Linked DNA regions of Kluyveromyces lactis. The protein of the gene in region 2 interacts with the protein of the main gene of each other region in a biochemical or structural test. Links are inferred from orthologs where the notes say so. Each region holds a gene or a part of one and is shown on either strand. Other genes may lie near its edges. The genes, in order: UBC9 and KLLA0_A02189g.

Region 1 (11,759 bases), on a different chromosome or scaffold from region 2:
TATTTTTTTCATCAAAACATTTCTTTCAAGGTCAGAAAATGCCAAATAATGCAAAACAAAAAATGACCCACTAAGGAAAGGCTTGAACTCAGATCTCTGTGCCTCAGTGCTGTAAGATTATCGGTTAAACACAGTATTGTTGTGACTAAACCTGACATTCGACTGCAGGTTGCAAAATTCTGCTGTTTTAGAAGCGAGTATCTTAATCACGTGATATGTAAACACGTATTAGAGTAAACTGTTCACGTGTCCGGGTAATGTTTGTGTGGATCACTTTTTGTATTACCATTGATTTAACTGATGTACTTCATTTCAATACAATAAGCTTTCAAATATGCATAATTTGTACTGCAATTACGAAGCTCGGTTCACGATTGGTTTGTTTTTTTGCATTGAACGGTGATACGATTCTGAGAGGATACGAAGTGACCCTACTGTGTTGACTTGTTGTGTCGCTTGAGGTGATTATGGTTTCGTCCGAATGGCAGGTTGTATGGGCTTGTTTTGCGTCCAGATTGGCTGTTTCGTACCTGTTCCCTTCTTTGCAGCAGCAATTGGACAGAACCGTTGAGTTTTCTACTCCGGTTACAAGCTATAGATCTCTGCAAGAAGGTGCGTATCTTTTACTGCATAATTTGCCCATTTATGATGGTGGTGTTGTGCATCATGTGCCTCTGCTGGTAGCTTTAATGGCATTCGTTCAACAAGCGGAGTTTCTAATGCCCGTTTTGTTTGCGGCCATGGACACTCTAATAGCGTATCAATTGATGCAAATAGCTAAGATATATCAACGCCAATTGCAAATTCCTAGTTATATTCCAGGTGTGGTTTATGCAGTGAACCCTTTGGTACTTTTATCATGTGTCTCACAATCGACATGTCTATTTGTGAACCTTTCCATTTCTACTTCTTTACTATTTGCGTTATCTAGACAGTTCTCACTGTCAGCCATATGCATTGCGTTGGCTGGTTATTTATCACCTTACGCTTATCTACTGTTGATCCCATTGGCAGGAATCTGTGGATCAAATTCTTTCGGCCTTGTTGTCAAGTGTACATTGGTATCGATTGTTTTGCAGTTGATCAGTTTCAAGTTAAATAACGATAACTGGAACTATTTGACTTCAACATACTGGATATTGATTACTTTCAGTAAGATAAGGCCAAATCTAGGGTTGTGGTGGTATTTCTTTATTGAAATGTTCGAATTTTTCATCCCATTTTTCAAATCTGTGTTCAACATATTTGTTGTTTCATTTATCCCACCTTTCACTATTAGATTCAATCAGCAATCGTTTTACGCATTTGTTCTATGTCTAGGTTGGATTACGCTCACCAAATCATACCCAACGTTAGGTGACGGAGGGTTTTTCTTAAGTTTTATCCCATTTTTCAAACCGATCTTTGGGTATCTAAGATATCCAGTCATATCAACCCTTTTATTCATTCATGCCATCATTTTGTCACCAATCTTCTACTACCTATGGATTGGATTAGGCTCCGGTAATAGTAACTTTTTCTATGCCATTTCTTTGGTTTATGCGTTAGCCATCTCGTCAGTGATTGTGGATTTGACGTGGGCCATGTTAAGAATTGAATACGATTCAGGTAAACCAAACCTTTCATTAAAACTGACTCAAATTTGAATGAACCCTGTTCCTTCTGTTGGAAGAAACATATCGTATTGTCATTATTTAATATATATCTAAGTATGACTTACCCAGTGCATGGCATAAAAACTTTTGAAAACTGTCCGGACTACTTTGGTTTGTTTTATTTGTTCCCTTGGTAGGGCATCTAATATTTCCATGCCATATTGAAAAACATGAAAATACAGTATTGCAAAAAGATAGACAACGAAAACATTACGTAGCAACCAACAGACGTAATAAAACCTTTAACAGATTCTCGAATTATATCGTGTAATCGATACATATCAGAACACCCGCGCATTAACGTATTGAAATGGTAAGTTTTCTTGTTCCATACTTTTTTGGTCGCAGCTAGGACGATTATGTCCATCTGCGATCGATGAATCCACAGATTTTGTCACCTTACTAACCAATTTAAACGTTGCAGGATCCAGAGGAATTCAAACCAATTAACCCTAAACCCTTTTTACATCAATTGATAGACAAAGATGTGCTGGTGACACTCAAATTCAATAAAATACAATATAAAGGAAGACTTGTATCGGTAGATACATATTTCAATCTACAACTAACAGATGCGGAAGAGATCATAAATGATGTCTCAAGTGGGAAAGTTGGGGACATTTTCATCAGATGTAATAACGTGCTATACGTAGGAGAGGATGTGAACAAGCAAAGTGATCAACCCCCTACGCCGACTGGAACAACAGAGAAATCTGACGATAAAGAGGAAAATGGAGAACTCGCAGAAGAAGCGAATTAATATAGCACTAGTCTGAATATTATTGAAGCAAACAAGGAAACATCGGAATAATTATGGATTCACTGTATAGCTTTCCTCAGTTGTAATAGAATTAGGGAACTGCTTATCTTAATAAAGGGAATATTAGTATTAGTATAATTAATGATAGTATAGTTTATGTAGGTTTTACAATTCAAAGGCTCATTCTAAAAAAATCTCTAGAGATTAATACCTTATGTTTTTCATTCCAAGAAGGTCTCGTTCACGGTGTAACAGCTGTTCCAGCCACCATGGATTTCTTATTGCTTACTAGTTTTCCAGTTGAGTTGGGGTAGTGATTTCCAAAAAAAATGCAAAAATGAAACGGACAGGAATTGAACCTGCAACCCTTCGATTGCAATTTTGTTTCCATAGAAATTTCCAGGATTTAACTGGAGTCGAAAGCTCTACCATTGAGCCACCGCTTCATTCTTAAGGTTTTTATCTATAACATCTTCTATATGAAATGGAGTGGCAGCATTCCTTATTTATAATAGTCACTTTAGGCCAGAGTATATTGCTAAGGTGAACCTGGAGCATTTCAACTGAATTAGGTGTCGTCGGTACCAGTGTTTTTTAACAGAATTGAATTACGCTTCCCAGGATAATATAATTTTAGTTTCTTGTATGCAATGATCAGTATAAAATGCACATATTATTTAAGATTCGATGACGACTGCCAGCAAGTTGGCCTCGTCACTGCAATAAAATATAATCATAAAGTAATAGCGAAATGAGGATTACCCTTTATATCACAATATATGTGCCCGTCTTGCGGTAAAACCGATATCTTTGGCTCAAAGTTAAATACTTTTGTGAGATTCTATTACCGAATAGATCATGACCTGAATTCAGTCATCGAAATGAAAGCAGTGATGGTGTTCATTTACAAATTACCTCTGTAGCTTTCTTTGGTACATGCTTCTGCTCTTGCTTTTCTAACAGTTCCCATGCCCAGTAAAGGATGTAATAGGTGCCTACACTAAATAGTACCATCTTGCTGACTGGTTTTCCCCAGACCCTGTAGATTCTTGCATGTGGAGAAACTGGCTTTGGCTGAGCTTGTTGAAATAAAGCTTTGGTGAAGTGCATGTTGGTATTTTAAGGCAATAAACTGCAGCGGTTGCGCTTCTTCCTTGTCCTGCACAATTAAGTGCCCGAAGACACTGAGGTTCTGAAAAGCATTTAGCTTTTTTCAAAGTACCTTTTGTTCAAAATTCCATACTAAATTTGTTCTACCAGTGAAGAGATCGTCATATCGTCATATCTTGTAAGATGAAAACACTGGGTAACACTGAGGTTTAATCTTTTATTTTGTAGTATACACTGATTTATTTACATGAGTTGACTTCTTTCCTTCTCCTCTATTCGCTTCGAACAGCTTTTACACATTTCCAAAGTAGATTGAAATCTTTCTGTGTAGCTTCACCACATGCTGCCCATCTAATCTTGAGGTTTTCATCCACAACGAAAACATAACCGGAATATAGATTATTAATTTGAAGTTGCTCCCTAATTTGGAATGGTAATTGGTCTCTATTGCTAATAAATGTCTTGTCATGGCGGTGAGGTGGAACAATTGATGCGTATCTATTCTTGACCAATTTGACGACCATAGTTTTTAACCAATTTTCAGCTAAATTGATCTCCACTATTTGAGCACTCTTCAGCCCATCTTGCACTTTTAAAAGGCTTTCATCATTCTTAAGGTAGTCCAGATTATGCTTGTTGTCGATAAAATATGAGTTTATCAGATTTTTACCGACGTCGGTAGTGAACAACCTTATAATAGAGACTTTGCCCTTTAAGGTATCTTCAACGTTACATTCTTTATTATCTGATAGCCGTTGTCCGACTACATGAGGGAAATATAATGATTTGTCAGCCTTCCAGTAAGATGGAGGTGAGATGAATATCTTCCCGTTAGTCTTCTTCAACACATACAAATCGTGGAAACCAGATTTTCTAAACTCAACTTCCAACTCTTCAGCCCGCTTGCCAGTCTTTTCACTATTGAATAAATCCAGGAAACTGTTACCGTACTTGTATTCCTTGGTATTAAAAGGTGGTTTCTCCAAGCCAATTGGCTTCTTCAACTCTTCGATCTTAATATCACGAGGAGCAGAGTTTAAGATGTTATTGTTCAATCTACGGAACAAACCGTAACTGATTGAAGAAGTACTGAGACATCTTTTAGAGCCAAATATTGGTAGCATGCTTGACAACCGAGGATTATTTGTGTGAAGCCACAATGTAGTATCCTTCTTTCATTACTCTGACGTTCTTTGCTGAAACTATTACGCTATAATGTTCTTTTTTTTTAATACTCACTGATCTGATCTATTCGATACCGTGAATTGGAAGAACTACGGAGATAAGCGATGAAAAGTAGTAGTACTGTGAATGAACATATTACTGATATTCAAGAGCAGTAAATTATACTGTTAAAGGTTCCTATTTAAAGTTTTTTTAAATAAGTATAAAGATAAGTAAAAGAATTGAAAAGTATATTTTAATAAATGGTATCGAAGAAAGCTTTTTGAATAGAAAAATCAGTGTGAAATGGTCCGAACTGGTGTCCATTAAAAGAACGTATGAACGTATTGGATTTCTTTGTCAGACAATACTATGGCCACTTTTCTGTTTAGATTTTGTTATAGTAATTTGTAACTAGAATTAATTGATTTGCAAAGGTTGCTAGTTCACAACAATAGACCTGCTACAGCCAAACCACCGAAAACAGCGTTTCCTAACGACAAAGCATTAGCACCATCGGAGGAGATAGTGGCAATGGTGGTTGGAGTGCTAGTTGGTTCTGCGGAAGTTGAGGTTGCCAAGGTAGAAGTTGGGGCAGCAGTGGTTTCAGACACAATTGAACTTGAAGTTGTTGGTTCTGCGGACGAGGTTGGTTCTTCGGAAGTGGATGGCTCTTCAGAAGTGGATGGTTCAGCAGAAGAAGATGGTTCAGCAGAAGAAGATGGTTCGGCAGAAGAAGATGGTTCAGCAGAAGAAGTAGTTGGTTCCTCAGAGGTGGATGAAGAAGAGGAAGATGAACTAGATGGAGTAGAGGAAGATGAAGATGTTGAAGATGATGGAGTGGAAGAAGATGAGGATGAGGATGAGGATGAGGATGAGGATGAAGAGGAGGAGGAGGATGAAGAGGATGAGGTCACATCATCATCCAATGTAACACCTTGAGCCTTACAGGTAGATTCCAATGCGTCTTGAGCAGCATCAGCCTCACCGTCTGGACAGATAGACTTCAAACAAGAGGTCAAATCAGAACCGTCTGACTTACACATACAAGCAATGTCTTGCATGCCATCGCAGTCAGATTTCTTGTTGACTTGAGCAACACATGCCAATAAACAAGCTGGTGGAGTAGCAACAACCTCGGTAGATAAAACAGCAAGAGAAAAAGCAGCACCTAGAGCAGTAGAGAAACGCATAACGAATGGACAGTTCAGTTGATAGTATAACCTTGGTCTTGAATGGACTAAAACAATCCTCTTTCACTATGAAACAAACTTCGTCCAAAATTTTAACATGGTTTAAGAAGGTAGATCAACTCTTTCATATTCAATTTTCTTTTATTTTGGTTTTTCCATGCTCGAACATAGGACTGTGACAAAAATAGAATACGAACATTCCTCAATTTATTTTGTAAATATGCGAACATATGCATGTAAGAACAAACATGCTGTGTTAAAGAATGGCTAAAAGAAAGGGTGCTCTTTGAGAGGGAAGTGTCTAATGGGAGATACTCAGAAGAGTGCACTGTCCCGTATACCTTATGGCAAAAAGTTGTCACATATATTCAATCTTGCATAGTATATTGGTTATTATTGGTTTAGAGCTAGTCTCGTGATTTCAGTCCTCAATATGAATTTCAAAGTCGAAAAGAGAAAAATAGCCATATTATTCGAATATCATACTAATAGGCAAAGAGTGAAAGAAATAGAATAATAGTTTATTATGATTAAATATTATATTATGAGCTCATATACACATTTTATTGCTGTTTGCAGGTATCTTCAAGGTCTTTGTCGATGTTACCTAGATTTTCATCTCCTTGTATTTCCAGCATCTTGGCTAATTCTGACATATCGTTTCCAGGATCGTTACTAGTTCCCTTTGCAACCGGTGAGTCACCGAGTTGCTCTAGTTCATCCAATAGATCTGCGATCTCAGCATGGTACTTTTCATTCGTATAATCATCGCTTTCGAATACACCGATGATCTGATTCACAAGTGCATACTGTTTCTTGTAGTTATCAATCTTGTCGCTGTGTTCGGGGTCTTCTTCGTGTAATCCCATCCACTCGGTGAATTCTCCCTGCATTTGTTTCATCGGCTGATATAGCACTTCTTTAGAAGACATTTGTGAAAGCATTTTCAAAATGGCATTGTCCATTCCTTCTCCGTCCGTACCGTTGCCATCGCCGTTTTCCACTAGTTGATCTAGCAATTGGGAAAGAATATCGTCTGAGTTCTGATTTTTCTTCTCTTCCTCCAAACTTTCATCCACTTTCGTAGAATTTTCTTTCAATCTATCTAGGGTGTTGGAAATGATATTCTTGAAACCAGTACCGCTCTTCAATTGCTCCTGAACGTGTTTTACACTGTTATGGTCTTTCTCCTTCGATGCATCTCCAAGTACAGTTAGCAATGTCTCGAAATTCTGAACCATTTCTTGGTCAGTATCACCGCCTTCCTGCTGCATCAATTGTTGGAACTGTTTCTGCAAATCTTCCATCATCTCGACTACTTCTGGATCATCGCTCTGCGTAGCAGGCTCACCCTTAGTAACTGCCTCATTTGGAACAGTTTCTTGTTTTTCCTGTTCATCCAGTTTGCGTGGATCCTCTAAATAGTCATCCAAATCATCAAATTCGTCAACTTTGTTGTCTGACATCGTTTGTCGAAGTATCTGATTACTATCCGTTGAAATTTTGGTGGTGCGTAGCCCTTACTATTAATTATACCTCAGTTAAGGTTTCTTTAGTCACTGTCAATTCTGAAAAATATCACTTTTTCTTCAAAACACTATTGATGCTTTTTCTACAATATCAAAATCATCTTCAAAATCACAAACAAAAAGACGTATCGCACGGAATATCATATCCTCCAATTATTCAACAACGGTAAATCTGAGTTAAGGCTCTATTTACAACAGGGCGCAACGTACCTTAATATATTTACGGTATCTGTATATTAAAGCGACTCGACGATCAGAACGGCCGAATAATATAAACAGTCATGAGTAGTCTTTGTCTACAGAGGTTACAAGAGGAGAGAAAGAAGTGGAGAAAAGATCATCCTTATGGGTTCTTTGCCAAACCAACTAAAAAGACAGATGGATCTATGAACTTGCAGAAATGGGAGGCTGGTATCCCTGGAAGAGACGGCACTCTCTGGAAAAATGGTCTTTATCCTTTGACCATTGAATATCCTGATGACTATCCGTCAAAACCTCCTAAAGTGAAATTTCCAGCAGGATTTTATCACCCTAATGTTTATCCCAGTGGAACCATTTGCTTATCAATCTTGAACGAAGATCAGGACTGGAGACCTGCTATCACCTTGAAACAACTCTTACTTGGTGTACAGGATCTTTTGGATTCTCCGAACCCTAACTCACCTGCGCAAGAGCCAGCTTGGAGAGCTTTCTCGAAAAACATTAAGGAATATGAGAGGAAAGTCTCAGAACAAGCTCTTAGGTATACCAAGTGATACCTCCATAATACAACTTCGGAAGTAAACCATTTACTGACAGAGAAAATGCAAATACGCAGATGACGGCAGATATCAACTTGCGGGAAACCCTGGGCCTTCCCCAGCGTAAAGCGCAAATCAAATAAATTTGCTGTATTCTATGGCTCGATTTATTCTACGGTGTTGACCATTGTTATATGGCTGTATAGAGATATATCATAGGATGGAACGATCCAGTAGGTGTATAGTTCTCGTGTAAAATTTAAAATTAATATCAAGAATAATGCTAATGAATACTTGATTTATTCAATTATTTTGTATTTTACTATTATCAGGTGTAGACTGTATATATTTATTGTTTTATTTGTTACGTTCATTTTGTTTGTATGCAATAAAACTATCCAATGTAGAAAAGCAATCCTGACATCTTTCTTTCAGTTGAGGATCTTTGTTCTTGTCAACAAACTTGAAAACATTCTTCAAATTTAATGAAACCTGTGTTTGAAGTATCGAAAGATAGTTCAAGTTTACAAATACTGGTTCATCGTAATCAAAGTTCATGTCTGAGTATATTTCAAAGAATGTGTTCATAAAATCTACTACTACTGGTGCTTTTGTTTCCTTGCTTGAAAGTGTATTGATAAAAAAGTCACCTATGGCTTTGTTTAGTTCAATTTGGTTTTGGAAACCAGCTAGAGTACCTAGTACACCGCAACAACGTTGTTGCAACTCCACACCTTCTTCAGGATTCAAACTTTTTCCCTCGTTGAAGACGTTAATTATGGAATCAATGAACTGTTGATTGTTTATTTGAACTACTCGGAAGAAATCACCAGAACCAGAGGTGCCAAAAACGGCTTGAACATTCTTCAACAATGCCCAGGTTACACTTAGTTTCCCGATTTTAATACCGAAATCCTTATCTTCAGAACCATTCTGCATAGCTGACCAGAGGTGCTCCCAGTAATTGCCCAACTCAAAAAAGCTAATCCCGACAGATAGGTAAAGCCATAGAAGATTGTTCCATCCAATCAATACTCTTGAAGTGAAATCAGTGTATAATGCAGAAAATACAGAAGGAACATTTTGAGTAAGGACAGGTAATAATGAACCATTAAGAGGTTTATGGCTTTCTTCGTATTTAGCACCGATCAATTCAATAGCTGCAGCGATCACATCAAGACTGATTTCTATACTTTGAAATTTGATCATGGCTTCGGTCCTTTTCTTAGTGTAGTCTTTAATCTTTTTTGTTATTTCTTCATTACTTTCTTTCATCAATTCAGAATCCTCGGTCTTGTTCGATAAAGTCGATTTTACCTCAGCTAAATTAATGTGTTCTACGGATTGTAGTACCTTGGTTATTATTGATGCTGCGATGTCATAACTTATGTCTGTATCCATGAATTGTAAGTAGATACCTTGTATTAGTACCTTAGTTAACTCGTTATCGTTGGCAAACTCCCAATTAATTATATTCTCGACAAATGGCGAGAGAAATTCATGTGCAGAAACTTTATCGATGAATTCAGAAGAATCACTAGATATGTCATAAATAAGGTCCAAGACAGTGTTGAATAACTGTGTAGTTGTTTTCAAAGTCACGGTATTATCAGAAATTACCATACCGTAACTCAAAATATTAGTCATAACAGCGAACACTTTATCCAATTTATCTGTCTTGACGACGTCATCAAGTATAGCATCCGATCCGTTTACTAATGCCACTAATAATGATAAGATATTTTCAGCAAAATCGTATAACAGCCTTTTAGATTCCTTTTTAGCTTTAGACTCATCAGATTTCATTGATTGTAGTGACTGTTGAACTTGCGACAAACCGGACTCAATATTCACCCAAATATTCAATCTCCAAATATGCGTTGCTAAATCATAGCCCTCTTCTAGTGCTAGATTTCTTAAAACACCGTAAGATTCTACCACGATATCAGTATTGGAATCCGTCAATAGTTTGGATGTAACAACATTAACCAATTTTTCCTTTAGGAAAAGAGATCTCATATGAGGATCTTCACATAAGACCATAATCGTGCCTAAAGCTATAGATCTATCGTTTGGAATCACGCTGGATAACTGTTCTATCAATGGTTGAATTCTCTTAGTTCTAATTTGATCATCTTTAGCAGCATTTCTCAACAATGGATTGGCACGAGCATTAGAAGCTCTAGATCTTCTTTTTGATTTACCCATTTTACTTCTCGGCTATTTGTAAGGATAGAAACTCCACCAACTACTCAATGAGTGCAGTTTCAGAATATTTGCACCTTGACAGACGTTTACTTCGTTTCAATGACTACAGTCCTTAATGCAAGTTCCTAAAGACCACTTTTGATGCGATGAGCTTTTGAAAAATTGTACTTCTCGCTTGGAAAAGAAATCAAATAAGCTTCGGAGGTACAAACAAGTCACGTGATAAATAGGTGTGGTTCATAATAATATATGTATATGCATAAGATGCGCTATCCGAATAAAATAGTAGTATATATTTACAAGAGGATGACGGGGAGGTATTCGACGTATCTATTGTCAACGGTGAACAGCCGTTCTCATTCCTGGTCCTTTTTCTTGGCTTGTTCTCTAGCAAGTTTTTGCTCCGCTAGTACCTGATCCAACTCTTCCCTTATTTGTAACATACTCTTTGGCAAAACAGGATTACCATCTTCATCATACTTTGGAATTTCGACATCGGTTCTCAAACCCCCATCCTTCTTCAACTGATCGATTACGATAGGTTCGAAAAACCGTGTACCGGTGTATACACCGATTGCGCAAATGACCGAAAATATCACCACATCCATACCTCTAATTCTGCCCACCATGTTCGTTACTTTCCTTACAGCTCACCTATTTACCTCCTTCCTCAATATATTATTTAATCACTCGCTCAAAAGAAAGGGGGTCTCGAAATAAATAATCAGCAGTTGCAAGTGTCACCAATTTGTCCTGTAACCTGGCTTAACTTTCAAGAAACTTGATGTCCTTTAAAAAATACAACTTAGTATTTTGATCGAAAAAGAAAGAGAAAAAGAAATATTGGCGAGTAAAAGACATAAATTCTTCCGTAGAAGTGAATCACCAGGTCAAGCTGGTGTGGGATAAACTAGTTCTCGGGGCATAGCGGATGCCTATCCAACCCAAAAACACCTACTTCTCTGTTTCTTGTTTCTAGTTACTTCTGCTTTGTCTGTCTTGAGCGTTTTCTATTTAAACCATATATAAATGAATCTTATGACACATTCCCAAATCATAACATCAGTCTACACCTACACTAACGAAATCTTTAGCTGTGGTTGTCTTTCACTTTTGTAGATCACACAGCAAACACGGTAACAAGCACATATATAGGAGGTTAGAGTACTATCAGACAAGAGATTAGTACTTTAGAAAAAATAGAGCGCAGACAAATACACATAGCATACCAAATACACAGGCGGACTGTGGTTCTAGTTTAAGTGTATTTTTCTGTTTTTCATTATATTGTTTCCACACGGCTGTAGGGAAATTGGCCAAATTCATCAATTTTCAAACTTTTCATATTGAACAGTTTCAGTTAAGTGAAAGAATATCCAGATTTTGGAAACATACAGATT
Region 2 (13,652 bases):
AATTCCAGGCAACGATTTGGTTTATTTACAATGTATATCTATATAATTGCAGTTAATTGAGAAAGCTGTTACACTACTTCTTGTTATTACTAAGTATATACACTTACATTCTTATACAGCTTACCTTAAAAGATGCCTTAAGAGGATGCAACTGCGAAAGCGATCCTAATGGAATAGAACTATAACTGAATCAAATCAATTTGTTTGATTCCTTTAAAGCTATGATTGTGGCTTCAACAATTGCGACATGTTCCGCAGCGTGAACCCTTGTTCCGTACTCTTCCAAGGATTCCTTACCTGGAACAATTTCTAGTTCTTTTATTACCAATGATTCGCCCCTATCTACTTCTTCAATGACATAATGTACCATACACCCTGCAATTAGTGGTCTCTTCTGCTCTTGACACTTATTCCACGCCATTTCAATCGCATGGGTGGTCCCATCGAAAGCACCAGGAAGAGCAGGATGCAAGTTAATGATCGGTAATCCGTTCAATCTCTTTAAAAAGGTAGGACCCAAAATTAATAACCACCCTGCGCATACAACCAAATCTGGAGAATCCTTCAGTATCAGATCTGCGAGGTCCGCTTCAAACTTATTTCTTGCCTCAGCACGACCCTTTTTGTCATCCTTCGACAAGTCCTTTGTGTATGAATACAAAGACTGTACAATGGTAGGAATTCCATTATCACTGGATCTTGTTAAACCATATGCTTTCTTACTACTTGAAATGACCCTACAGATATCTATAGGCAATTTGCCTTCTTTCTTAGCATCAATTAACGCCTGTAGATTCGAACCTGAACCTGAAATTAGCACAACAACTTTTGGTGCCATTTAGATCTTGATATTTAACGTAAAAAGAGTCGCAGAATGTGAGTAGTACCGAAAGGAATGTTCTATACGATAATACTTAGTCTGATCAACCACATCAATATAAAAACATCTATTTTGAGAGGTGACTTAAGAGCTTTTTCATAGTGATGTTTAGTATATGATAATAGCATCGATGGGAAATTAGTATCGTTAATGTAAGGTTCACTATTTCAAAGTATTATGTGGTGTAAGGATGTGTTCAAGTCAATGGGCAGACCTGCAGTCCAGTAACTATGGCTAAGATTTAACTACCAGCTAAATGCACATATAGCTCCCGGAAAGTAACAAATTAAAAATATACAACTCAGTTCTTTCAGAACTCATACTTGCTGCTAGCCGGCTTAATCTTCTTAACTTTGCTGATATCTCGGCGGATCAGTTGAAGAGATGATGCTTTGATCACGTGACCATAATTTAATATCTTTAGTATCATAGCTAATTTTACCCATTGGTACCAGCAGCAATCGCCTTCCATACTATCAGGACTTCACATGCTTTCAGCCCATTTACGAATCCCTTCACAGAAAGTTTGGCGACCATGATACTATCCATCTTTTGCTTTATTTAGTATTAATGTCCGTTCTGAAAGAAAATATGTAACTCAACTCGATATAACAATGAATCGATTTGATATGAAAAATAATTAACAAATCTACACATATTTATGAACTTCACATCCTCGGTCTAGGTAAGCTCGGCTTTATCTACTGGAAGGTACTGTTGCTAGTATTGCTGTCAGTTTTTGAGAGCTTTAAGTCCCTATTTGCCAATATTTCGGGCTCTCAGTTCGCCTCTTTTGTCATCGGAGACAATCACAAAGGGCTTCTACAATTAGTTCCTGAGAGCTAAGTAATTCTCTATCGGTATTTTGTGATATATTGGCGCAACTGGGCATTATTTCATTCCTGGCAACTAACAATTTGAGAGAGCAGTTCGTTATTTCTGGTATTTTAGGTGGAAACACGCCATATAACCATGCAGCATTTATTGGACGATACTTCAATAGACTCTGTCAAACAGGAGATCATGCTGCTTAAAGTAGCAGAGCTAAAGAATGTTTGTCGTTCTATAGGTCTGCCGATAAGTGGGCGGAAGACGGAGTTACAAGATAGACTATCTTCGTTTTTAATGGCTCCAAGTAGGGCTGGCATGAATGATCCGTTCAGAATTCCAGCAGTTAACATTTTAGTCAAAAAGGCCGGTGCTGGTGATCCAGTACCGAAGTTTGAAACATTATTGCATGCGCTTGCTACAGGCTCATTCATGCATCCTGTTGCAACCGGTCACCAGGATGCTTCCGCTCTAATAGGTAACAACAGACTTGCTGGTAAACCTCACCTGCGATTTCAGCAAAGTCCATTTTACAACTTGAAGAGACTGGTAGGCTCCGAATCTGCTCCTGAGGCCCCAAGCAAGCGAGGAGTTGCTAACATCTCTTTTAAACTAGTAGAAGAGGAGATGAAACTACTCAAAAGTAGTCCTAAAATTAAACTCTATGTGTTTTGCGGAATAAACAATTCTTTTGGAGCTAGTAATGACATACCTATTCAGTTTCCTCTGAGGAATGAGATTAAATTTAACGGAATACAAATAAAAGACAATGTTCACGGTTTGAAGAACAAGATAGGAACTGCGAAACCCGCTGATCTAACGCCGTACATTAATTGGCCACCAAAATCAAATCTTTTGCAGCTAGTTTATGCATTTACGAAAGACGACCATATGGTGTATGTCTATTTGGTCGAACTAATAGAAACAGAGGAATTGTTACAGAAGACATTAAGTAGCCCTAAAATTGTTAGGCCTGCAACGCTACAGTACATCAAACAGACTCTTTCTGAAGAAGAAGATGAAGATATGATGACTACGTCAACAGTTATGTCTTTACAGTGTCCGATTTCGTATTCTAGGATGAAGTACCCTGTAAAATCCATCCACTGTCGCCATTTACAGTGTTTTGACGCTCAGTGGTTTATTGAATCACAGAGACAAATTCCTACATGGCAATGTCCAGTCTGCCAAAAGCAAATTCGTATAGAAGATTTGGCAATATGTGAATTTGTGCAAGAGATCATCAGTTCTACCGACGAAGAGGTTGAGCAGGTTGAAATTAGTAAAGACGGTAGTTGGGTAATCAAAGATGAAACAGAAAATCACAACCAGGAAGCTAGTACTGCACCTAATATTAAACAAGAGGCCACACCTGATATAAAGCCTGAAGATTCACATGCTGTAGAGCAGCATGACGAACATCCTCCACCGGAACATGTAATAATTTCCTTAGACAGTGATGAAGAAGACGAAATAGAACAAGCGACATCTAAAACCAATCCACCAAACCGGCAGTCTACTTCACAAAATTCCGATAACACTTCAAGTAGTACCGATTTAAACCAAGATAACGATTTATTGGATGATGAAGATATGGCGTTCATCGAAGAACTTGCCAATTCAATCATTGATCGAGTACCCAGGAGATCGCAGCATGAAAACAATGTCACAAGCACATCGAATCTGAATGTCAATGGACTCATTGACCCTAATACTAGAAATGAGGTACCAGAACGAAGAACGAGTTTGGATCCTAGAATGAATGATTATGATCTGCTGAATTTAGCCGCAGAACAACCCACAAATTTTCGTCAAATGAGAGGAAGACTGTTATCAGAGAATAACCAAGAGAACTCGCGACCCCCAGTACCTAATCTTTTGGGTAAGGCTCCTCTTAACACGGATTCACATAAGGTTGGACCACAACTCCCTAACATGTCTCAACTCACAAACGCAGATTCAATGTTATTCAATGGAAATGGACAAGCTCACCCTCAAGCACCTTCCGGTTCCTTTTCTGATAGCAATTCTCGGATCGTTGTTCAACCAATGGGAAGTTCTCCGCGTGGCCAAACAAGCGATAAAGTCACACAGGTATCCATACAGCCCACAGAACCTCCTTCCATGGGAGTTCCTGTACTACCACCTCTACCAACTTTGCCAGTGAGATCAACTACTTCTACGATGTCACCGAATTTACCTCAACCACCGCCTATCCATGATCCTAGAAGAAGGAAGCCAGAGGTATCACCGTTTTTACCCAAGAAGAATTTTAAGAATGTTCTACCGAAGAAAAGAGCACACTCCAACGGCAACGCACAAAATGTGCATTCAGAAATCAACGGGAACCATGACTCTGGAACCTTACCAGCACCTTCACCCATATCCAATGTGCAGGTATCGCCTTCCCCGGCTATAATGAATTCAAATAATGTACCGCCTCCTAATGACTCTCTTAATTCTGACGATTTGATCGACTTGACCTCCGATTAACATTCTACAAGGATTACGTTAAGTTTTAGTATGAACTGCATAAAGTATATACATAAAACTTCATAAATCATTCATATACAATATTGTATTTTTACTGTTACAACTACCAAACCGAAAAGAAATGGCTATTCTATTTGATGAAGGGAATACCAACTCCTACAGTTTCCCTGTACGTTATGTACTGATTCCCGAAAAACTGCACGAGGTATCTTTCTTCGAATGCAATTCTACTATTGAAGAATTTCCATAAAACGACAATAAAAATGACCAATGAAACTGGATTTAACAGCATTAGCTGCGAGCCAACAGACCACCAAAAGAATCCAAAGTAACTGGGATGCCTACTCTTTGAATATATGCCGGACGTGACAAGAGTGTGGTCAGAGTTCTTTGTTACCTTCACAACATGTGAGAATGATTGCCCCGCTGTGATCATTGCAGATGATCTAACATACTGTCCAAGGAGTAGCAATACAACTCCTACGGTAACAATAAATTCGTTGTAAAAGGAATAGGTTGTAGATTTGAACGACGGGAATAGAAGGCGTTCTATGATTGTCTCTATCAGTGCAACCGAATGGGCCAAAAAGTACCCGACACCGTTGTTTATCAAAAAGGAGTTTGTATTCAATTTCCCAGGATTGTATTTGGCAGTAATCCAAAACTCTAACAGATGAAATATGGATAGTGAGATCATGTATATGTTGAAGTTCCAAAAAGGAGACAGGCATAATGTAATAAGGGATACACCAAAAATCACTCCTAGCATAAATGCCGTTAAAGATATCTCGTCCAATTCGTTCTTTTGTATATTAGGAAATGTTTTCCCATCAATAATCACAAGAACATCCTCACTTTCATCATCTCTGCTCGACATAACTTCCGCACCTCTCAATCCACGCCAATACCTTCACTGATTTCAACTAGAATAGCTCAGAATAAAAACCAAAAACCAGCGTGAAGGATTCTTCAAGGTCTGATATATTAATGGAATATGATGCGTACTGCTAAATACCAACAGCAAGGAGTTCAAATAGTGTCTTGTTCGATAACAAATAGTTAAGTTAAAGTCTTCTCTTTCATCGGTATTAAAATTGTTTAAAGTGAAAGAATGAAAAAAAAAAGATAATGGCCTCGATTTTATACTATAATCAGTATTTACAAAGACATCAACATGAAGCAACAAACACGGGATCATGAGCAGTGTTTTGAGGTTCAAAGAGAGTAGCTGTTAAGTTTTTTCAGCTAGCAGCAAACTCAGTTGTTACATCTTGTTTCACTGTGTAATTCATAACAGCGAAGACTGCATATCTTGTCATTGCAAACAACGCAGTTAGATATACTGGAGTAACCACCACACATAGAGCAGGTGACGATCATTGGTAAGACCCTGAAAAACTTCTTGTTTTGAACGTTACTATAAATGAGTGTGTGGTTCACTTGGTCTAAAGTTTCTAGATAGGAGTGTAAAGACCTTCTGCTTGAAAGTACTTTCCTTAGTGCTGATATTCTGTTGGAACTTTTCTTTGATTTCCGAGGCGGCTTGCTTGATTTATACAATAAATTCATAGACTTGGGCAAATCGAACTTGGCCATCCTCTGTCTGGATGAACCTGAGCCTGATTGTTGCTCAGATAATATACCGGTGCTTGTTTGATCGATCTTATCTTTGTTCAGCCCCGTGATGTTACTGAGAAGAGTTGTAACTTCACGAAGATCTTGATAGTTTTCTGTGTCAAGTTCCATGAACCGCTTATTAGATCGTAACAAATCAGGCAAGGCATGCTTATCAGATCCTGTCAGTTGATTTATGTCGTCTTTATCGCTTCCCTTGGGCTGATTATATATCTTTGCCTCCAAATCAGCCAATGAATAATTGACTCTCTTGTTTCTTGCTGAGGTTTGAGACTGTTTCGAGACCCTTGCACTTTGATGAGTTTGGTTCAAACTGCTGAAATAAATGTTAGGATTATACGTCCTCACATTGATTTCTTCTACCGACCTCATATTGACACTCTTCGCACGCTTCTTCCTTCTTTTATCCAGTGATAAAGTGTCTTCCTCGGTATACTCACTATGATAAGGTCGATTTTAAATTTCTTTGCCATATTCTCATTTGATATATAATATGGTAGATATGCGAACAACAGTAACTGAAGGGAGAGAAAAGATGTCAATCATTGGGTAAGATAGGCCGTTAACGTATGGTTGATGATGGTACCAATTGTTGCCAGTGCATCCTTGTTCAGTAATTCATAATAGATCATAAAGTGGTTAGAATATCATATATAATGGACTCGTACTAAAACAATATAAACTGGTGCCTGTGCTATATCATAGTTTGGCCTTGGCAGAGTTGTGTAGAGACAAAGTTTCATACATTTCATCTGCCGCCTTAGTTAAATAATAGTGTAGTTCGTCAACACTAAATCCAGAAGCTTCTGGTTTGTTGGTGATATTAATGTGCAAAAATTCGTTATTGATCATATAGGCTAAGCCAAATCCATTATCGTATACTTGAGACCAACCGTAACATTCAAAGTTTTCAGAGGATAATTGTGAAGTTGAAATCAACCAAGTAGAACTGTATTTGAACAATGCGTCTTGGAACAAAGGTACTGGCTCATCAGATTCATGAACCATGTTTTTCAACCCAAAGAAATGGCGATCAACGGCTTCACCGTTAGAGGCCATCTTCAAATATTCAACATGATCCTTGGCAGCATCGTAGAAAGCAGCAATTTTCTCTTCAGTAGTAGAAGTAGGTGATTCCCATGTTTTAACGAACTTGGAAGAGGATTCAGTGACCGGTCTACCAGTTTCAGTTCTACCTTGGAAAAACGCTCTGGTAGAAGCAGCTTCGTACGTTGGTAGTTGTTTCTTCAAATACTTGAAAACAGCAAGTTGAATCACCTGTTGAATGTAAGCATCTGGTGACACTTTAAATGTTTTCACAATTCTCTTACCATACCTATTATAGTGCCAAACGCGTAAATCTTCACGTTCCACTGTTGTTATAAATTGCAATTTTGCACTCTCGATAGTATTTCTCAAGGTTGGTGTAATTATAAATGGTAGATGTTCACTGTTCACAGAAGGGTAAGCTGATACGTTGGAATGTAAGGACTCGACGAACGCTGAAGGATTCAATTTTGTTAATTGATCCACGACGTAATGGTTTAAAAACAAAGTTGGAGTACCATCCATTTTCGAATGTTCTGCCAAGAAACCGGAGAAACCGTTACCAGTAACAAAAAATTGCAAAGGCTTGTCAAAGAATCTATTGGTTCCGTCTCCGTGCCAGCACACTCTAGACTTATCTTCCAAAGTTATTGGAGCAGTGTCCTGATCCAAACATAAGACGAATGAGGATTTGTGGATGGTTTCTAAAGAGGAGGAAGATACTGGTTCTAATTGCAATTGTTGATAAGCGCCAGCCCATTCATCACGAGGAAGAGTTGTCAATGCACCGATTCCAGCGTTTGCATTGATCAAAGAACCCTGTGAACCCAAATGGTTGACAATTTGATTCAACTGTTGGTAGATTACTGCGTTGGACAAGACTGCCCCAGCTTTATCGTGTGTATAAACTTTGAAAAAATTATCCTTGTAGGCAACCGTCAAGTAGCCATGTTCATAGATCGAGTAAAAATGGTTCGTATCGATATTGAATTGAGGAACCCTTGAATTATTGAACATATATTGGAATCCGTTCATACAGAAAGGTTTGCCCTTCACCACTTCTGCTGGCAAGGCTTCATCTTTCAAGGATTCCACGAACTTCACCACACTAGAAATAATCGCCGTGGCCTTAACAAGCATGTCGCCATCGATGGCACGGTGACTAGTTGGTAAAGGCTTATGACCATAAAAATATGACACAAAAGGAACCACAGGTGACCTATCGCCAAGATAAATCTGACTATCCCATAGTTCTTGCATCCAGTTTCTCCGCTCCTGAGAATAACTCAACAACCGCTCCTGCAAAGCAGGGCCTTGGTCTGAAAGAAATGAGTAACATAACTGGATCTGTTTCTCATATTCAGCATCCGTCTGACAAAACGGTTTAATAGACTTCAAATATTTGTCCAAAGTCGATTTCAACTCCGGAATCGGTAAGGATGGCATATCCTGTTGTTTTGAGTAAGTGGCTCCTTTGAACCCAGGTCTCTTCTCCTGATAATACGAATTAGGTCTTTCTGCAATATACTCATCGTTAGTCCCGGTCTCAAAAGGGAACTTCTGATACCCCGAATACTGCATCTTACCAGACATCTGTCTCAATATAGAACTTTTCTTGTTACCTTGACCCATGCGTCTCATCCCCATACTAATACCAGCACTGCTTCTAAATGCCATACTTCTCATCGTCACTGTTGGTGTTGGTATTCACAACGGGTATTTAACTAATAAATAAAATAAATATCACAACAATTGAAACCTTTTATTCTATATCGTGTTCCGCTTTCTTGAGGATGATTTTGGTTGTTTAAACCGGCAAGGAAACCATTTTCGGAACAAACCTATTAAAAGCGAAAGGTGTCCTTAACTTCTGAAATGCAGCTATATATATACTAAATAATACTAGCTCATTTGTACATGGTTTTATTCATAAAAGGCTGAAACTCGAGAAATCCGAATTGCTGATCATTCATTACACAAGAGCCCATTCCGTTATATACGTCCGAACCGAGTGATCATCAACGAACCTGTACCAGTAACTCTCTGCAATCCTGTACCCAAGACGTGCTTCACCTCCACTCTTGGTCCCTGTGGTCATTCGTTTGCTCCAACACTTTTTGATCATCAACTATTTTCTCGCCATAACGGGCTTTTAGGCAGAACCATCATACAAAATCAATTTTCCATTGTCGACATATTTCCATTAAACCTGGGGTAAATAAAATAACACAAATGATATATACACAAGGGAGATGTAGATAATATAGATAACAGTATGTCGGATTATTAGTACCTTAATCAGTCTATTTTGGTCCCTAATCTATTTCCAGTTCCAGCGAAAGTGCTTTTCTTTAACGGGGTTCTCAACCTTCTTCTGGTCACGGGGTCTGTCCTGTTTGATGACGAAACGGGTTTGGAGGTGATGGATAGGACACGTCCTATCCATAGAATGATCGAGGAGAACCATCTTGGTGATCTGAAATGACCTCTTCCAGAGAATCCGTACGCTGGGTCCTTCCCCATCAGATAACCGTACAAGGGACCGTAAGTCCATGTGTCTAGGCAGGAGTAAACGTATCCAGCACAAAACCCGACCATTGTGACGCAAAACCTGCTGTAACCATCGGTCCCGTCATCAAATAAGAACGAAACGAAAAGATGCACTAGCGATAGATATTTACCCAAGATTGGGAATAATCCGTAGAACATTACCTTCACGTTGCTGTTGTCCAGAGTCCACGTATATAGGATCATTCCTATGAATGCGTTAGTGAACACTGGGTATGAGATCTGGCATGCTTCTACGAGCACGACGATCAATGCAAAGTTGAAACATATGTAAAACAAATAATCGATGGATTTGTTGCTGAAGTGCACTAATTCGAGATGTAACGATTTCGAGTATACTGCGTATAGGTCGAAACATGCTTTCATGGCATCGTTTGGTAAGATGAGGAAACTAGTGAACAACCTCCAGATTTGGAACTTGAACAATACACCACGTAAAGACCATTTGAAATCGCTGAAATAGTACGGTAATACGTTCAAGCGTTGGATCAAACATATTAACACCATTAAGAGACATATTCCTCGGGTCACCGGTGGAATTTGTCCTACAAACTGTATCAATTCGTTACGCATAGTCATGGCTGCTATGAATAATCACGCGTATCGTATATCCCACTGATGTTACTGAATGGTACCTCCGGTGTCTATCTTGACAGCGCATCTGTATAGTGAGTATAAATATCTTTCTTTCACTGCAACTTGGAACTGAAATTTCATAGAACCCGAAAATTAAAGCTATGGGAAAGACATAGATAGGAAAGCACAGAATGACAGAAATTGAATAGTTAAGTAATGATCCTCTACACAGGTATACGCCTAGATTTGTTTTCTACTTAGTGCATGGCAGAGCATATGAATTGGTCTAGATAAATTAGGTCAGGACGGCTAGATTGCCCTTATGCAATCATGTTATAGTTATCTATGTATTTCTTTCTGTATCTCGAAGTTTCAATATTTGGAAAAAGCATTAAAACGGAAAAACTTGCTGATGCGATGAGCTGAAGAAAGCAGATAGGCTTTTCACTTACTGAGGTGGTGCTGAGACCGGTTCAAGTTCTGCAGAAGATACAGAGTAGCAGTGTGGATATAGAGTGAAAATGGTGGCAAAGAGTAATCGTGAGATTCTTACCGGTGGTAAATCTTACAAGCAGAAAGCTGCTAAGAAATTCGGTGCTGATGAGGTAAAGTTCGATAAGGACTCACGGTTGGAATACTTAACTGGGTTCCATAAGAGAAAGCTTGATAGACAAAAGAAAGCCAAGGAGTTCATCCAAGAGCAAGAGAGAAAAGCTAGGCTCGAGGAAAGGGCCAAGATCAGAGCAGATAAAAAAAAGGCTCTTGAGAAACAGCTTGAAGATTTTAAACAGGCGATGAAAGATGTCGGTGATTATGTCGGTGTAGAGGACGACGACGAAGAAGCCGAAAATGGGAAACAGGGAAGCGATGAAGAGGCTGAAGAATGGACGGGATTTTCCGATGATAACGGAGATGCAACTGAAGAAGAAGAAGAGGATTCTGACTCTGTTAGTGTGAAACCGATCTTAAAGAAATATGTACAGACTTACTTAGATGATACTACGGTAGACATCGAACCCTTAGAGCCCAATGACAATTTTGAGTACCTTGCGGAATTAAATAATGTGAAGTTAGAGAAATCGGAACAAATTTTAGATCAAAGCATCGAACGTGCGAAGAAATATGCAAAGTTTTTGGGAGTTGAAGAAAAATCTGGTAATAAGAGTAAAAAGAATAAGAAGTTCAGATACTTGACCAAGAACGAGAGAAGACAAAATCAAAGAAAGGCCAACAATAATAAACGTAGGAAGTAATTAACCTTTTTTTTTTATTTATTATCTTCCTCTCTTTCTAAACATCTCATTCATCCATTTTCCCCCCCTCTGTTGTTGCAATGTATTCTACCTCGACTTTAAAGAATAACCAAATCCATCTTCTGATTATCTCTAAAATTTGTAACCAAAAGATGTTTAATTCCCCATAAAATACAGAGTGCCCACTGATATACTCCCAGAACCATACGAATCTCAAAATAAAATCGAGCGCCATAGCGCTATAATACCACGCATTTTTCCGGTACAACAAAATGCTTCTTAAAAGACCGTCCGCTTTGTTACTACTATTATTGTTATTGACACTAGTGTCCCCATTCACAAAATCGAACAGCTCTAGTTTCCAATCCATGGTCACATCCCACCAGAATGAATACGCGGAATTCCAAAACATGAACCAATACATCATTCCAAGTGGGCCCAGGTTGTAATATCTTGTATAGACTGTAACTAGCATGATAGGAATATTACCAGCATACTTAAAAGCATTGAACAATTGTGAACCATCTTTCTTCTGAGACCTTCCTCTTGTAAATTCTCTTAACGATTGAATCATTCTGACCAATGAGGGCAAGACTCCAACAAGTACGTCAATGTTTAACGATATAGCATTTTCATATCTTTCCACTTGACACTTGACGTTTGTTGGATCATGGAAAAGGAAAGTGGCATAAATAGCTAAATCCACCAATGGCTTAGAGTACGAGGTCAAAGTATCACTAATTATAATATAGTTATTCCTATACGGCTTTGGTTCAATGTCAGCTACCCAAAGTATTCTTTTAAAGCACCTTGCGACCATTGCTGATGACCTTAATATCATTGCAAATATGTAAAACAACTCCAGTAGTGGTGAAACATTCAAAAAAAACCAAAGCAATTTGTTGGATACGTTATTAGTGAAGGAGTATTGGAATAAGATTATACATACCAATTGCCACGGTATAATGACTCTAGAGATTGACTTGAACAGTTTCAGGCTTGATTGGTGTATTTTCGTGGATGTGTTAAAGTAAGGTAGTCCCGTGGACTCATTGGATACAATTACTTTGGACACGTCGTAGTAGGATACTGATACCTTCAGGAACCATGTCCATAGCCATAACCCTAATAACACAAGGACAACAACTCTCTGTGGGATCGGTAGGTAAACCAGAAAGGGTTCAACAGATTCGGCGTCCATGAATGCACGTATAAATAAGGAATCAAAAAAATGTAACAAAAAAAGGAGGAATAGAAGCAGAAGAAATCCCTTTCAGAAAGGCCCTGTGTGTATCGCTAACGGTTTAGATTTGTGGTTCACTGTCTCAGAGCTCTGTATAATCTAGGATCCTACGTTTTTAGTCCTAAGATAACACTTTTATTTCTATTGACATCTTTTCAAGACGTGTTTACAATTCAGATACCGGCACCAAAAATAAAAAAACACACACTACCGAAAAGCACAAGTTACAAGTACAAGAATGGAACAGCTAATGCTATATATAAACGTATTCAGGACTGTTAGAGATAACAAAAAGCGTGTTTCTAATCCTTTAAAATTTTGAATTTTATTCATGATTAGCATGGAAACTTTTAGTTCATCATTAATAGGTCTATATATTTAAGATAGAGAATGCCGAGTAATCCACTGACACATCTAACGTACACTTCGACTACCCGAATATATCCGGAAATGAAGAAAGTCAAACAAACAAGAAGATATAACTTGTACTGTATTGCCTGGACAGTTTATTTTAATAAAGTAATCGATTGATCAGAATTTTCAGTGTTTGGCTAATGCTAGTCGAATCGTTCATATTTTCGAAATCCGTTTGGGGCGACAGCGGTCATCATAATCGATATACTCAAAAAAAAAACAATCCAAATGATGGTATTTCCATACAGACAGTCATTATCTTCGTCGTTCCTTTTACTTGTTCATTTCCCGACATGAAGAGGAATTTGATTTCCGTTTGAGTTCAGTAAAAAAGACAGAATACGTTGCGAACAGGAACTCCTGTTCCTGATACACTACAAATCGAATCCTTGTTGGTTATGTCTCTAACTCTAATTAAAAGCTTTGTAACGGATAATAAAGTATTCGTGATGAGATAGAAACTTACCTCAAAATTTTTCACTTTTCCAGTTATTTAAACTAAAAACCATAAAACAGAAAGAATAGTCAATCTAACCATGAGAGACTGGTCTGCCATTAGGGCACAAAATAAGTACACAAAGATTTCCTGAATCACGTGACCAAATATTATATAATCCGGGTAAATTCAGAATACGTTCATAGTGATACTTCTTGCAAAAAATTCCATTTGACGATATTCCTCTGATGGTATTGAAGCTGTTTGAAATTAGAGATC

Evidence for each region.
Region 1: the proteins of KLLA0_A02189g (region 2) and UBC9 form a complex in vitro, tested with the Saccharomyces cerevisiae proteins (11 studies listed by BioGRID, with this or other methods). The link is inferred for Kluyveromyces lactis from reciprocal best matches to the Saccharomyces cerevisiae genes SIZ1 and UBC9.

The regions. Positions count from the first base shown.
Region 1 is NC_006041.1:435,754-447,512, forward strand, and holds UBC9 (E2 SUMO-conjugating protein UBC9), read left to right. Parts: upstream 1-7,692; coding exon 7,693-8,166; downstream 8,167-11,759. Other genes in the region: GPI-anchor transamidase subunit GAB1, read left to right, coding at 468-1,646; mRNA splicing protein SMX3, read left to right, coding at 1,966-1,968, 2,080-2,415; ATP10 (Atp10p), read right to left, coding at 3,798-4,649; CCW14 (Ccw14p), read right to left, coding at 5,136-5,882; PEX19 (Pex19p), read right to left, coding at 6,446-7,348; SYO1 (Syo1p), read right to left, coding at 8,509-10,359; ECM19 (Ecm19p), read right to left, coding at 10,716-10,988. UniProt on the Saccharomyces cerevisiae protein: E2 ubiquitin-like--protein ligase mediating SUMO/Smt3 attachment to septins and PCNA. Seems to be involved in degradation of S- (CLB5) and M-phase cyclins (CLB2).
Region 2 is NC_006037.1:185,049-198,700, reverse strand, and holds KLLA0_A02189g (Siz/PIAS RING finger protein), read left to right. Parts: upstream 1-1,852; coding exon 1,853-4,201; downstream 4,202-13,652. Other genes in the region: ADE8 (phosphoribosylglycinamide formyltransferase), read right to left, coding at 191-838; STE14 (protein-S-isoprenylcysteine carboxyl O-methyltransferase), read right to left, coding at 4,332-5,078; VPS71 (Vps71p), read right to left, coding at 5,459-6,208; carnitine O-acetyltransferase CAT2, read right to left, coding at 6,536-8,569; DFM1 (Dfm1p), read right to left, coding at 9,182-10,030; rRNA-processing protein RRP17, read left to right, coding at 10,549-11,280; ERD1 (Erd1p), read right to left, coding at 11,327-12,481. UniProt on the Saccharomyces cerevisiae protein: Acts as an E3 ligase mediating SUMO/Smt3 attachment to septins and PCNA. May be involved in chromosome maintenance.